Linked DNA regions of Sus scrofa. The protein of the gene in region 2 interacts with the protein of the main gene of each other region in a biochemical or structural test. Links are inferred from orthologs where the notes say so. Each region holds a gene or a part of one and is shown on either strand. Other genes may lie near its edges.

The links.
Region 1: the proteins of NCOA6 (region 2) and THRA form a complex in vitro, tested with the Homo sapiens proteins (2 studies listed by BioGRID). The link is inferred for Sus scrofa from reciprocal best matches to the Homo sapiens genes NCOA6 and THRA.
Region 3: the proteins of NCOA6 (region 2) and PPARG interact in a test that uses a peptide from one of them, tested with the Homo sapiens proteins (2 studies listed by BioGRID). The link is inferred for Sus scrofa from reciprocal best matches to the Homo sapiens genes NCOA6 and PPARG.

The regions. Positions count from the first base shown.
Region 1 is NC_010454.4:22,281,496-22,287,259, reverse strand, and holds the start of THRA (thyroid hormone receptor alpha), read left to right. Parts: upstream 1-2,099; 5' UTR 2,100-2,235; coding exon 2,236-2,288; intron 2,289-4,663; coding exon 4,664-4,731; intron 4,732-5,280; coding exon 5,281-5,381; intron 5,382-5,764.
Region 2 is NC_010459.5:38,143,943-38,149,606, forward strand, and holds part of NCOA6 (nuclear receptor coactivator 6), read right to left. Parts: intron 5,205-5,664; coding exon 4,359-5,204; intron 2,313-4,358; coding exon 2,166-2,312; intron 1-2,165. UniProt on the Homo sapiens protein: Nuclear receptor coactivator that directly binds nuclear receptors and stimulates the transcriptional activities in a hormone-dependent fashion. Coactivates expression in an agonist- and AF2-dependent manner.
Region 3 is NC_010455.5:68,430,752-68,435,139, forward strand, and holds the end of PPARG (peroxisome proliferator-activated receptor gamma), read left to right. Parts: intron 1-2,739; coding exon 2,740-2,987; 3' UTR 2,988-3,196; downstream 3,197-4,388. UniProt on the Homo sapiens protein: Nuclear receptor that binds peroxisome proliferators such as hypolipidemic drugs and fatty acids.

The DNA.
Region 1 (5,764 bases), on a different chromosome or scaffold from region 2:
GCAGCACCACAGCCAGGGTGTGCTAAGCACTGAGGCACAGCCTTGGGGCTGGGGGGAGACACCCAGACCCGAGGGGGAGAGAGAGAGAGACATTCAGATGCAGAAGGACCTGACCAAAGGCAGCCTCCCGGGGCAACAACGAAGAGCGAAGGGGAAACAGAGGCGACAGAAAATAGTCTTCTGTTGTCCAGCCCCACCCCCGCGACAGCCCCAGGGCCCCCCTACCCCTCACTGCTCTGGCCGAGAGCAGCCCGGCCCGGCCCCGGTGCCCAGGCCCTGGGCATCCCCACCCATTCTGTCTCCCCCACCTCCACCCCTCAGGGCTGGCTACGCCATTATAAATTTATAACAGGAATTTCTCCACAAGCCAAGAAAAACTTGACCTACTTTCTTGACGGCTCCCTGGGCTTAGGCTCCCCGCTCGCACACCCCCCCCCCACCAGTGTCTCCTGTCCGGCCCCCAGTGCCCGGTCCTGGTCGGTGCGAGGATCAAAGGCAGAATGGACCACGCTTCTGCACTCTTGCCGGGCTCCCCAGGCGGGGGGCTGGCCTGAGCGCAGAGGCCCTGTCCCGCTCCCGCTCCCGCCGGCCCTGCCCAATGGCCTGGCTTATCTCTCCTTTCCCCTCCCATCCTGGCTCCTTATCAGTTCCTGGGGGTGGGGCCTGGGGGCCCCCGGGGCAAGGTCTCTGGGGAAGCAGCCACAGGAGGGAGGTTGTGTGTGGGGAGCTGCGCCTCTTGGCCCCTCTCACGTGCCCACACCTGCCTGGGTGGGCAGTCACCGAGCCTCAGGTGTGTAGCCTAGGGTCAGAGGTGCAAACCTGGAGGGAATGGTCGGCCCAGGTGGGCGGTGCCCTGGACCCCAGCTGGCAGAACAAAGCTAGCATTGGCGGCAGGCTGTTTGCAAGCTGTGTGAACTTGAGTGAACGGGCAAGCTTTCCGAGGCTTCTTTTTCTCACCTGCGAAGTTCTGATGCCCACCTGGGTGGACATATACTCTCTATTCCCTTAATGCCTGTTGGTTTCCTCTCGCCCTCCCTGTCCATCCCAGTGGGTGGCAGCTCAGCTAAACCAACTGGGAAGTCTGGTCCTCAGACTGGGAAGTGTGACTTGGGACCTTGTATGGGAAGCTCCTTGGGGGGCCGGGGTTGGAGAGGCCTAAGTCGGCCAGCAGCAGGGGAGGTCGGCTGGCTGCTCTTTTCAGCATCCCTCTCCATTGAGGCCCTCAGGTGGGCGCTCACACTTCCTTCACCGGGACCCCCCCCATGCCTGGGCTGAATGAAAGCTGCTCATCTCTGGTCACTTCTTCTTCTTCTTTTTTTTTTTAAGGGCCACACTCTCAGCACATGGAGGTTCCCAGGCGAGGGGTCCAATCGGAGCTCCAGCTGCCGGCCTCCACCAGAGCCACGGCAACACGGGATCTGAGCCGCGTCTGCGACCTGCACCACAGCTCACGGCAACACCGGGTCCTTAACCCACTGAGTGAGGCCAGGGATCGAACCCGCCTCCTCATGGATCCCAGCCGGGATCGTTAACTGCTGAGCCACGGAGGGAACTCCATCTCTGGTCACTTCTTTCCCTGTGATACTAACGACACCTTGGCTGAGGGGTGGTAACAAGGGCTGATGTGTAATAGACGCGTATGAAGGGGCCAGGCCCTTGCTTGACTGTGAGGCTTGAGACGTGCTACGTGGATTACCTCATTCTTTCCCTCCATCCCTTTCCATGTCTGGGGACCGGGATGTGAATCTCCAGCCTTGCCTGCTGTCTGTCGAGCCGAAGGGCTTCCCGGTCCTCTCCCGATGCCTGCCCTCCCTCCATGCCTACCACCATCTCGTGATAAGCCCCAAGAGCCCAAAATGTTGGCGCCGAAGGAATCCTATTCACCTCCTCCCACCACGGCGCCGCCTTATCCCTGCCTCTCTCCTCTCTCTGCAGGGACCTCCGGACAGGACAAGATTCCGAAGCTACTCCCCCAGCCCAGGACCCCCCCCACAGACTCAGCTTGCCCCCCAGCCCTACCACCTGCCACTCCCTGGCCCCCTTCTCACCGCCCGCTCCCCCCTTGGGGTGCAGGGCATGGTGTGAAAGGCCAAGTGCTGAGGCGGGCACCATGGGTGCTGTGCCCTAGGGCCTGGGTGGCGGGGGGTGGGTGGCCTGTGGGTGTGCCGGGGGGGCCAGTGTGCCCACCCCAGTCTCTTGGCGTGCTGGAGGGCATCCTGGATGGAATTGAAGTGAATGGAACAGAAGCCAAGCAAGGTGGAGTGTGGGTCAGACCCAGAGGAGAACAGGTAATGGGTCCGGCAACTAGGTGTCGTGCAGCAGTCGCTGGGCTGGGCCAGAGAGCACTGAGCTTGGGCCTTTTAGCACCCCTGGGGGGATGGGCCTGAGGCCGGCAAGCCTGCTGCCTACCTTTGCCCAGGAGATGAGGTCATGTTCCCATGTGGCTGGGAATTAGGCACCTGGAGGGAGAGATGCCCGTTTTGAAAGGGGGAGGGCGTGCAGCACAGAGTAATTACAGGCAGCAGGCATGCGGCCCCTCCCTTGTCAGTGCTCGGAGTCTCCAATGCCCCCCAGCTTCCCCTCAGCCACCCTCACCTGAGCATGTGGAATCCAAACAGCCTGGCCATTTTCCTCCTCTCCCTCCCAGCCTCTTCACGTCTGACCACTAGTGTGAGGTCCAGAAGCCATGGTGCGTGTGACATGGCATTTCAGGGCACCATGCACCAGTAACTGTTGATCACAACTCACGCTTATATTTGGAACATATTGGGAGCCTCACAAGCTCTTCCTTGTTCATGGGCAAGGGCGGGCAATGCCATGGGGCTCCTCCCAGGAAGTGGAAGTGAATGCCAGCTCTGAAGATTTGCTCCCACGTGGAGGAAGCATCAGCCCTGCACACACAGCTGGGGATGGGTTCCCTATGATCCGCATTGCGCTTCGGGCGTCCAGAGGGTCTCTGCCTCTCCCATCAGTTCCAAGTGGCACAGAGCTCGGTCTCAGTTGGCGTGGTGCCTTGGGAGCTGGGTACAGCCTGTGCCTATGGCCAGGGAGAGGGTGGGGGAGGGGTGCTCTGGGGAGCAGTGTGGCCGTTGCCTAGGAGACCAGATCCTGAGCCAGGAGGCCGGAGGCCTGGCCAGGCAAAGCCCTGGGGCCCAAGATTGGGTCCCTGGAGGGGTGGAGGAAGTGGATGGGGCTGGCAGTTGGGTAGGGCAATGGGGGTATCCCCCCCTCCCCAAGCCTCACCCCAGGGGGGCTCTGAAAAAAGATTTGGCCTGTCATCGTGAAGCTGTCACTTGCAGCCCCTGTTCTTTCCCGCCCACACTTCCATGGGTCTGGGAGGGTCGGCTCCTAATTCAGAGAAAGGCGGGAATGCTTAGTTCCTGTCCCCCAGGACTGCAGCCCCTCCCCGTCAGCCTCCCCTCCCCCATGTCCCCGCGCCACCTTGTGGCTGTCTCTGGGACTGCACCCAGAGGCTTTGCGTCTAGCTAATTGCTAAAGACCCGCAGCTCAACTGGGCTGGGGGAGGTCCCCTACACCCACCCCCCTCCGGAGGCAGGAGGGGGAGATGTGATTCTCCAACCGGTGTAGAAACCAGACCGGGTAATCCCCAGGGGATGTAGAGCACAGAGCTCCCTGTGACTGTGACCCTGGCCAAGGTCACTGTGTCAGTGTGCTGGGAGCTGCATCAGGCTGGGGAGTCGGGGGTAGGGCCCTGCAACATGCCACACACAGGGTGGGGGCGGGAGGTTATACAATCCGTGTGTGCATGTAGAAGGCTTATGTAACCTGTGTGTGCCAAGGTTATGTAACACGTATGTGGGGAGGCTGGCGACATATGTGTGCAGGGGCTGGGGGGTTGCTAACTCCTTATTTGGCGAGGCTTGGGGTCCTTGTCGCGGCTCTGACTCTAGCACACAGTGTCACCAGGCACCAGTGGGGCCTGGGTTTACTGCTCTGTTAAATGGAGGCCGTGGACAGAGTGGCCGTGGAAGTCCCCTCCTTTTCCCATATTATACTTGGTTTAGGTTCTAGTGGGCCACTGTGGCTGTGACCTGAAAATCAAGCGACATGTTCACTGGCGGGGGGAGGGGCATGGTATTATTAGGTGCCTGTCCGGAGGGTTGTGTAACACGTGGGCATACCCTAGAGGTCATATAACACATTTGAGAAAGCCCTGAAAGTCGCATAGATAGAGATGGTAGAGCCTGCTGCTTATTTAACTGTGCTTGGGTTTAAACGGCAGGCGGCGTAGCTCTTCATATGCGCTAGTCTTACGGTGCAGATGTACGTGTGTATTCGAAAGCTTGCATCGCTTTAAGCCCGTCCTGAAGATTCTTTCTGCTTGTGTGTCATGTACTGAAAGCTTAAATAGGTGGCTATCTTAGAGACGATGGGCGCCGAAGGTCCTGTAGCGCGTGCTCATGTGTGTATATAGGTGGGGGCCCTAGATCATGCTTGTGCCCCAGCCGAGCCCCTTATCTCTCACCCAAAGCTTCTAGATAGCCAGACCTTTTCCAGTTTTGTCAGCTGACCTGGGGGTGGGAGGTAGAACGAGGACCCGAGCTGGAGGGAGTCGGGCCTGGGGGAAGACCTCAGCCTGTTGAATGAGAAGGGGGCTGCCCAAGGACTGCTCTCTGATTCTGCCCACTTTGCCCCCATCCAGTGCCAGGTCACCAGATGGAAAGCGAAAAAGAAAGAACGGCCAATGTTCCCTGAAAACCAGCATGTCAGGTGAGCCTGGCTGCGTGTGCTCTTCCTCCCCACCCTGAACCCCAGCAAACCAGGCCAGGGCTCTTCCGGGGCCTGGGCGTGCACCCGCAATTCCTGTGTCCCGTGGGAAGAGCCTCTGAGAGAGCTTGGGAAGGATGTGTCTGGGATGAGAGGGGAGATGCGAGGCGCGCCTCGCCCTTTGAGGATGGGTTTGGTCAGGAAGGGCCTCTTCCCTTCTCACGTAACCCTCTTGCCTGAGGTCCCTGAGGCCAGCTGCTGCTGGCGGGGGCTGCTCCTTCTCCCATATCCCCTGCCCCTTGGATGCAGCAAGAGAAAAGCCCTAACTGGGCAGTCGGAAGAACTGGGATTCTGGTTATCTTTAGGGAAGGGGCTGGACGAGATGACCTCTCGTGTGTCTCCAGGATTCTACCTGGAGGCCAAGAACCCTTCAGGGAAGCTGGGCCAGGGGATGGGCCAGGAAGGAAAAGCTGGGGGATGGAGAAAGCGTAGGAGCCTCTTTGCTGGGGCCCAAGCCATGCCTGCCTGCCTGCCTCCCTTCCTCCCTCCCAGGGTATATCCCTAGTTACCTGGACAAAGACGAGCAGTGTGTCGTGTGTGGGGACAAGGCAACCGGTTATCACTACCGCTGCATCACTTGTGAGGGCTGCAAGGTATGGACCAGCCAGCTCCTGCCCCTCTCCCACCACCTGAGCCCCCCCCCCATCTCGTTCCCTTTCAGTCCCTCAGCACCTGGCACCAGAGACAGCTCTATAAACATGTAACCTAAAGCCTACCTGTTAGAGCATCATTCCTCTTCTCTTATTCATTCATTCATTCCTTCATTCATCCATTGACCATCCCTGCTCTGTTACTCATGGGTAAGATGCCTAATCTCTTTGCGCCTCAGTTTCTTCATCTGTGAAGTGGGGTTCATCATACTACCTACCTCACAGAGCTGTTGGGAGAATTAAATGAGATCGCGCACGTAGAGTATTTAAAACAGTGCCAAGCACATAGGAGGCACTCAATCAATGTCAGCTTTCATTCATCCACC
Region 2 (5,664 bases):
AGGCCAAATTCCTGACTCCTTGGAGTCTAGCTGGCAAGAGAAAATAACAAACAGATCAAGTATTTTCACAGGAAGAAATAAAAGCTAACAAGTGAAATAAAGTAGGGTAAGAAAACAGAATTGGAGGAGAAGAGTTGAGTTCTCTTAGATGGGCTAAATGGAGAAATCAAAACAATACATGCACGCAGGAAGCACCATATAAAAATACAAAATAGCGGTGCTTTTGTGGAGGAATTAAGAACGATTTCATCACTTTTTAAAACTTCCTACAGGAAACATGAATTCACATAGCTCAAAAACATAGTTCTGCATTACCAGATACGGAAAATCACGCAGTTCGCCCTACCCTTCTCTCATTCGTCAGGAGATTGCTTGAACATTTTTTTTAAAAAGTTGGAGTTCCTGGGAGTTCCCGTTGTGGTGCAGTGGTTAACGAATCCGACTAGGAACCATGAGGTTGCGGGTTCGGTCCCTGCCCTTGCTCAGTGGGTTAACGATCTGGCGTTGCCGTGAGCTGTGGTGTAGGTTGCAGACGTGGTTCGGATCCTGCGTTGCTGTGGCTCTGGCGTAGGCTGGTGGCTACAGCTCCGATTCAACCCCTAGCCTGGGAACCTCCATATGCCGCGGGAGCGGCCCAAGAAATAGCAAAAAAAAGACAAAAAAAAAAAAAAAAGTTGGAGTTCCTGTTGTGGCGCAGCAGAAACGAATCCAACTACTAAGCATGAGGTTGCGGGTTTGATCCCTAGCCTTGCTCAGTGGGTTGAGGATCCGGTGTTGCTATGAGCTGTGGTGTAGTTTGAAGACATGGCTCAGATCTGACGTTGCTGTGGCTGTGGTGTAGGCCAGTGGCTACAGCTCCAATTAGACCCCTAGCCTAGGAACCTCCATATGCCATGGGTTTGGCCCAAAAAAGGACAAAAAGGCAAAACAAACAAACAAATAAATAAAAGTTTAAAACTATTCTCCTTCCTTAGAGATGTACACTTAAAGTTGGAATCACAAAACTACCTCCAAGTGGGGATGCAAGTTCAAATAATATATGTGCTATCTCAGTCCAAACTGCCTGAATGAGAAAGCGTAAGAAGATTAGTCATGTGGTACCTGAGCAATCAGAAACATGAAGTCTGGGCTTATCCAATATTGTTTTACAAATACTTTTTAGTCATTCTGGTTCTATACTCTTTGTCCTCCTAAGTTTCTTCTTATATTCAACACATTGTTGACATTTAATCTGTATTGATTAAATCCTGGTCTTTAAACACCACACTATAAACCAGAGTTCAGACACTGAACATAAAAACAAAGTTAACATGTACTACAAAGAAATTTTAAAAGTTGTATTTGTTCAAAATGCCATGTGCCTTCATGCCTTTGTACCTATCACTTCCTTTGTCAGAAACATTTTCTTTCTTTCTTTCTTTTTTTTTTGTCTTTTTTGAGGGCTGCACCCCTGGCATGTGGAGGCTGCCAGGTTAGGGACTGAATGGGAACCGTAGCTGCTGGCCTACACCACAGTCACAGCAATGTGGGATCTGAGCCGCGTCTGCGACCTATACCACAGCTCACAGAAATGCCAGATCCTTAACCCACTGAGCAAGGCCAAGGATCGAACCTGCGTCCTCAGGGATGCTAGTCACATTTGTTTCTGCTGAGCCATGATGGGAACTCCAGAAACACTTTCTTTAGTGTCCATTCACTAACTCAGGGGTCAGCAAACTATGGCCATGGGCCAAATCCATTGCCATTGCCAGCTTGTAAATAAACAGTGTTTGGAACACGGCCATGCTCATTCATTCACGTATTGTCTATGGCTACTTTGGTGCTACAAGAACAAAGTTAAGTAACTGCAACAGAGAACATACAACCTGCAAAGCCTAAAGTATTTACTATTTGGTTCATTTCAGGAAAAGAAAAACAAACAAACAAAAAAACCCCCAAAAAACCCTGCTAACCCCAGCTTTACCTCGTTTCATCTCCTTTCTTCAGGTGTTTCTAGATTTTCGAGACATTCTACCTACTTTTGATATGTCAGTTATTGCCCTGAAAGAATAATTATTTATAGGTCCGAAACTAAGAGGAAGAACTAGGACTTATATTTCTCTGTATATCCTTGTGGTCCACACAATGCTCAATAAATGCTTGCTGAATAAATCACAAAAACAAACCTGCATGCTGGACATTTTGATTTGCTTGCAGCTGAGGGGCTCCTGAATTCCCAGGGGTAGTTGCTGTGGTCGAAGGCACCTGACCTTGCATAAAGTTCGGATTGGCCTGTCCTGCTGAGAAGCCAGGTGGGAGGCGTTTAGGCATTCCTTAATAGAAAACAACGAGTAAGGCAGTTACCTAGCAAATTTATACTCTTGCTTAGATGTGGAATGAATAAGGAAGGATGAGCTGCATGAAGCCTCCACTGGCTTAGCTCTCTCTGTCACACTGGTAGGATCTTTAATAATAAGGTTGGGAAAGATGGTTAAAAAAATCAACACAATCTCTTACATGAGCATTGTCAAAATGAAAAAGAAATACTAAAAAATTTACACTTAGAACATGCCAAGGAAAAGATGGCAATCTGCTCCCTAAATGTGATCTGAGGCCACGTCACAGCAAGGTTTAGGGCTCACTTTTCTCTGTGATACTATGGACCCCAAAACTTTACATACTTTAACACAGGTACCAAAGGAATACGCTAAATTCTCTTATAGTCAAATAAGCTGACAAGAAATACTATAAAACAAAGACCTGGGTCCTGATATTAAGCATAGATAGATGACTTCTTTTCCCCTCCATTGAGGGAAATGAATGACAATTTTCTTTATGGAAAATTTCTCCCCAATATTGTACTTGTCTCTTTGGAAGAGACAAGAGATTAGAAATAATTCAAAGGAATGTCAAAGTGACGATATGTTAAATTTATCATTACACCTTCCCCTCAAATGGTTTGCTGCAATTCTGACAGCTATAGTACCAAAAACTGCTTGAACAGAATCTTACTAAAGTAATACTTTCTTTCATAGGAAGGTTTAATTTAAGAAAACAAAATTGTAATAAGAATCTCAGAATCCACTCACTGTTTATAACAGGCCTGGATGTGGCCAGATCACCTAGGTGAGCATATCATTTGCTCTATGAAAGCATCAAGACCTAAAGCTCACTTAAAATTTTTTTGTGTTAGTCCATTTACTTAAGGGCCAAATTTTCAATGTCCTGAAAAACGCTCTGTAGACAAATATGCATTTGTCCTTTCTTTAGCAGTGACAAGTCCCCATTTACATGCTTCCATTGTAGTTAAATCAGTAATCACATTTGCAGGAGAGACTACCCAGCTTCCACTGATCCAAGGCTAGTTGCCCAGAACAGTGAAGTTTGGAGCTGAAATATTCTTGCATTTTCTAAAAACTTCTTAGGATTCAAATATTATAGCCTGCATGTCAGTAAAAGTAATTACAAGAGAGTGAAAAGACTGATGAGCAACTTAATTTTACCAGAAATCATGGGAACATGCCTTTGCTATGTTGCACTAAAGATGCAAGGATTTTTTTCTGGGTAGGCAATGGGTGTCTTTTGGTGGGGGTATGTTTATCAGATGATAGTATTCCTGATACTCTCTATACCTTACTGAAAAGCTCCAAGCACATTCATGTGCACTAGATCAATGATTAATAAGAATAAATAATAAACATGGAGATGGATAAGTTTTACTGTAATCGTTTTACCTCTCACACATTAAGCTCCATTGCTTTTTCTTCATACAAGAGGCACCTTACAAAATAAATAAATAAATCTCCTTTAGGTATAACTGGTGGAATTCCCTCTCTAAGGAGCAGGCATTGGCATTATAAAACTATAAAAGTCAATGATTCCTGAACTTATTCCCCTTTAATACTTTAATCAAATTTAACAAATACCACGCTATCTACTAACCAGGATTATCAAAATTGAAAGCTAGACGGGCCTTTTCCCCAACAAACCCTATACTTATCTTTTCATTTTTGCTCTATTACATAATCTTAATTTTTTCAACAGCTGAGCAGCTTAAGTTGTTAATAAACTCATGTTTCTTCTGGATGTTTTAACTTACTACTACAAGATCAAGCAAAAATATTTTGAAAAAGAAAATGAACATCTCTATATTGAATTTTACCTGTTTTTATCCAGAGGGCTAGCTTAAACATAACCAGTAAGATGCTGCATCATGCATCAAGTTAACTAAGTTATATAATCAAATGCCATCACTGCATCCACAGAAACAAATAATTACATCCTTATTACACTACCCTCAATTAACTCTAAAAATTGAAGTTCTACTAAGATCTATCTCCAGTAAATTCACCAACACAAACAGCTTCAGTGTTCCTCACCTCCTAGGCCTGGATGTAAACTCTGTGGCCCCTGATTTGGTGCTTGCTGCTGCATCACCATGAAGTTAGGTGGCACGTTTCCCTGTTGAACCATAGGATTCCGACCTGGAGAGCTGACAGGCTGCTGAAATCCCTGGGGAAGTGGGTTATTTTGAGGTGGCCTTGGTCCCATCTGCTGCTGAGTTTGGTTAACTGTTGGGGAGGATGCAGGGGATCCCTGCTGGAAGGAGGAGGGCGAGGAGGCAGGAGACTTGTTGGTGAGGTGGGGCTGCTGCAGGGGGGTTGGGACCCGAGAGGGTCCTCCCTGCAAGCTCTTCATCTGAGGAGCTGTGAACTGGCCTGGGTTGCTCATCTGAGAAAAGTTTGTATGGGCTTGTGAGGCTTGCTGGCTGCCAAAGGGATATGGAGGGGGAGGGTGGGAAGGTGTCTGTACCGTGGCTAAGGATGGTCTTGCCTGGAGTTGCTGTTGCATTGGGCCAGGCAAGGGAGCCTTCTTCCACCCTTGATTTCCAGTCATTGTGCCCAGAGAACCCTGGGCTGGAGGAGGCTGAAGGGCTCCCGAAGGCAGCTGATTCCAGCCTGGAGGAACAGGCACCTGAGTTGGGGCAGTAAATTGGGGTCGAATTCCCTGTGGCTGTTGTTGCTGATGTTGCTGTGGGGGTCTTGCCTGCAGCTGCTGCTGCTGCTGCTGCTGTTGCTGCTGCTGCTGCAGCTGGGGAAAATTAGCTGGATTTATTTGTCTGTTCACAGGGACAGGCTGCATTGGGTGGTGTGGGGGAGCTAAAGATCCTGAGGGATGACTTTGCTGCTGTATATGGAGCCCAGAGAGGAGTGGATCCATTGCATCTGTTTAAAGATAGTCAACAAAGCAATAATTAATTTACTACAACCTAGATCCCAGAGCAGTAGTCTTGGCAATTCTGCAAATATACAGTAAAATCTGCTGGTACCATTCAATGAAATGTTCATGAGCATTTACTATATGCAAATCCACTGCCAGGATGATAGAAAGACAAATCTTATTTAAAAAGAGCTTTTAATTTTAAAGTGGATATAAGAGTCAAACATTAAATATAGAGAGCAATATTTTCCAAAGCATATTCTGAGGAACTATGTTCATTAGAGTTTTAAGAAAACAAATAATATAGTCAATCAGGTTTGGGAAACACTGGTTTCTTCACTGTAGGACTTTCAGTGCCTCCAATATGTTAAACTTTGAATCTCTGGGAGGGAGGATCGAGTAGAATACATTAACCAAATTTGCTTCACTAGAATTCTAGGTCATGGAATAGCAAGACTAAGCAGG
Region 3 (4,388 bases), on a different chromosome or scaffold from region 2:
CTGCTTCTGGCAGGAGAAACAGAACCTGCCTAGGCACAGTTATGACAGAACATAGGATGTTTTGAGGGACTTGGTATGGAAGTAGCTTAATATGGCTGGAGCAAAGGAATAATGATAAATGGAGGCCAGAGATGAAGGATATTAAAAGGGAAATAACTCCTAAACAGTGCTTAGTTGGACAGCGAACGGGAGAAGAGCTTAAATGAGAAAAGAAGGTAGATAGCCTTCAAGAGCTAAAATTTTGAATCAGTACAAGGTATCAAAAGGGTTCCTAAGTGTTGTACATAAGCTGTGCACCCTTCTTCCAAGCCTTAATGAAAAAGCCTTATACTTTAATCACAATGCAACAAACTTAGAAAAAAACTTAGAAGTTCCCTGGTGGTCTAGTGGCTAGGACCAGTCCTTTTATTACTACAGCCCAGGTTCAGTATCTGGTCTGGGAACTAAAATTCCCATATCAAACCACTCATGTGACAGGCAAAATAAAAATTAAAAATTAAATTAGAAAAAAAAAAACCAAAAACAAATACTCAAACTTTCCACTTGGAAATCTAAAAACATGACTCTATACAACTCTTAGATTAAGAGTGAAATCAAAATAGTAAAATGGACTAGAAAAGAACTATGAGAGTATGATTTACCAAAGCCTATGGGGTAAAATGAAAGTGATATTCAAAGGAAATTTTAGAGCTTTAAACTCATCTATTAGAAAACAAGAATTACTGAAACTAAATGAATTAAGTGTTCAAACCAAGAAATGAGAAAAAGAAAAAAAAAACTAAAAGTTAAAAAATGAATAACTAAATTGAAAACCAAGTGCAATAAAAAAAAAACAGTTGATCACTAAAAGCAAAGTTTCGCTTTTTCAAAAAGCAAAAAATAGATAAGCCTTTGGCAAATCAGATTTTTAAGTGAGAATACACAAGAAGCCTTCAGTTAAAGGGAGGTATAAATAAAAATAAAAGAGGCTATCTTGTACAAATCCATTCCAATATAAATTACTAAAATTTTACTTTGTAAGTAGTAAAAAGCCTGAATAAATTAAAAGCTATAGGAGGAAAAGTAAAGATACTCAAAGATTTACCACCAGGCTCAAATGGTTCTGCAAATGAATTCCAAAAAAAACCATCAAGGACTAGATCATCACTACATAGAAACAGAAGGAAAACTTCTCAACTCAGTCTGTAAGGCTAGTTAATATTTATTACCAAAACAGGCAAAGGATGGCACAAAAGAAGACGACTCTGGACCACTATCCCAATTTTAAAAACCCTAAATAAAATATATAGCAAATGAATGCAAGGGTATAAGAAAATCTATTAATATAATTCACTACACTAGCTTAAGATAAAACTATATGGTCAACATTTTAGGTAGAAAAACTTGAAAGCATTTGATGAAATGCAACAACATTCCTAACTAAAATTAAAACCTTTAAAACTCTGGGAGAATCTGGAGAAAAACATATCCACCATACTCTAGTAAATACCATACTTGTGGTAAACCATTAGAAGCATTTCCTTCAAGCTTAGGAATAAAATAAGAATGCTTCCCAGTACTGCTACTATTTACCGTATTAGCATTATTAGCCAATGCAGTATGGCAAAAAAAAGAAATGAGAACTATAAACACTAGAAAAAAAGAAATAAATAAAACTTATGAACAAAACAAATAATAAAAATATGATTATTTGCAGATATAATTGTCTATCCAAAAAATAATTTTTTTAACCCATGATACAAACTGTTTGATTTGAGAAGAGTTTAGGAAATTGGAATAGATTCAGTATAATAAAACCTAACTTTTTTCTAAACATCAGCAGGGATACATTAGAAAATGTAATGAAAAAGAAGTATAGAATACTAGAAAGGAAACAAGTAAAAATAAAGAATACTGGAAAGTATTTAAGAAGAAATCTAAAAAGACCTCCATGAAGAAAAAACATTAAAAATTTAAAAGTAATCTAAGCTCACCATTTAAAAGTTCAAATAAGGAAAGTATAAAGAAGAAAGTGAAATCTACCTGCATCCTCACCTGTCGAAAGAGAAGCCTCTGTTAAAACTTGGTCTATCCTTCCAAAAGTATAACAGAATTTGAAAACTATGTCTCATCTCTTTGAAAAATGCATATGCTATGTTAAGCAAAAAGAAGACAAAGTTTATTTTAAAAGTGTGTTGATCCTGCTGTTTAGCACTGGGAACTCTATCTAGTCACTTACGATGGAGCATGATAATGTGAGAAAAAAGAATGTATATGTGTATGTGTGACTAGGTCACCTTGCTGTACAGTAGAAAATTGACACAACACTGTAAACCAGCTAGAATTGAAAAAATTAAAATCATTATAAAAAAAATGAAAGTGTGTTGAAAGTTGTGGTAAGAAAATAAGATTATAAAACATAGACTCATCAGGAAGGAGCAGAAGTTAAAAATGAGATTTCTGAGTGAGTAGAAATAATGCCAGCAGAAGAATCTGCAATCTGGGAAGTGATTGCCATGCCACCACGTTCTGTCATCTGGTCACACAGATTTAGTCCTACGGGAAAAGAATGGTCTTGGAAAAAGCTCTGATAGTCTTGGGTTTTATTCCTTTTTTCTTATATGCAGTTCTTGCCAACTCTCTGCTTACCTCCCCTGCCCCCATCCTATTTTAGAACCAAAACAAAACCAACAAAAAGTCATTGGCCAGAGAATTTTATACCTAAACCTCCTGTTCTGTCTTCCATTTCTGCTCCCCCAGACCGCCCAGGTTTGCTGAATGTGAAGCCCATCGAGGACATTCAAGACAATTTGCTGCAAGCCTTGGAGCTGCAGCTCAAGTTGAACCACCCAGAGTCCTCCCAGCTCTTTGCTAAGCTGCTCCAGAAAATGACAGACCTCAGACAGATTGTGACAGAGCACGTGCAGCTGCTGCAAGTAATAAAGAAGACAGAGACGGACATGAGCCTTCACCCACTCCTACAGGAAATATACAAGGACTTGTACTAGCAAAGAAGTCCACGTTCACCGACAACATTCTCCTTCTTCCAATTGCACTATTATTTTGGGGGAAAAAAAATCTGACACCTAAAAAAAATTACTGTGAAAAAGCGTTTGAAAAAGAAAAGGTTTTAGAATAATAGATCTATTTTATGCATATTGTTTATAAAGATACATTTACAATTTACTTTTAATATTAAAAATTACCACATCATGAACTTGCTGGATGTCTTTGAAGACTGAGTCTGTTGTGTCTCCCATCACCACTCCCCAGGTATTTTTTTCCTTTTATCTCCTCCCTCTTCCTTCCTTTATTTTTCCTTTTTTCTTTCTTACAGTGTGAAACAATGTGAATGGGATTGCTGATCAATTTCCATTTTCAGTCAAGTTTTTTACTCCATTTACAATGTTTCTGAACCTTGTAACTGTTTTAAAAATCACAACTAAGCGAGGAATTTCAGGACTGAAAACTACTCAGAGCATGTGTTTCTTAACCTGGATGGACTAATGTTGACCATGTCCCTAGGCTTACCAAGAATTCAGTCTTCTTCCCCAGCCCCAATCAAGATTTTCACTCACCAACAGCAGCCCTCTAACAGGACACCAAGGCACAGACAGATACCCACTGGAGGGTATTAACTGCTAGATGCTGTAACACAAGTGGTATAAGATGTGGCACCTGCCAAAAAGAACTTATTATTGAATTGAGGGGGGAAAAAAAGATTAATTTTTCTCACAAACAGATTAATATGTACAGTATAATCCTGTGCCAAATGTATGGTTCAGACTCCAAGTGCTCTGAGTTCAAAGTAAAGATTAAGAAGATTGGAAAAGTCTTGAGTGATCATAAATTCATTCAAGTGGGCCTCAAAGGATGCGTTTTACTTGAGATAGGTAGAGAGTTGGAGAGAAGACATTCTAGGAAAGCAAAACCACAGAAACAATAGCAAAAGGAAACAAAAGCAAAGCAAAACATGAGTGAGGGAGAAGGGCCATGTTCTGGTCTCAAGCAGTTTTGCTGTACATCTTCCTGCCTTCCTTCTTGGGACCACTTTGCCCAGGAAGCTCTGACTTTTCCAATCTCAAAGCCTAATTATCCGTTTAGGGGAGGCCAGCCTCCCCAGCAACTAGATGACATGGTCCCTCAAAGCAGGAATCTTCTTGGCACAATTAATAGATTTGTTGCTTGATGCCACAAAGTTCATTAGCATTGCTTATCCATGAACACACATGGCAACTTCCAGGAAGTCCTCGTAAGCAAACCATGCTGAGGTCTCACTTGCTTGTTTCCACCAACCTAAATGATCTCCCTTCCGCTTCTCCCTGCATTTTCTCTCTCCTCGTGGCTTTGGTACTGAGAAGGACATAACCTTACATTTGAGGTTTTCAAGCCAAAATATCAAGAAAGAC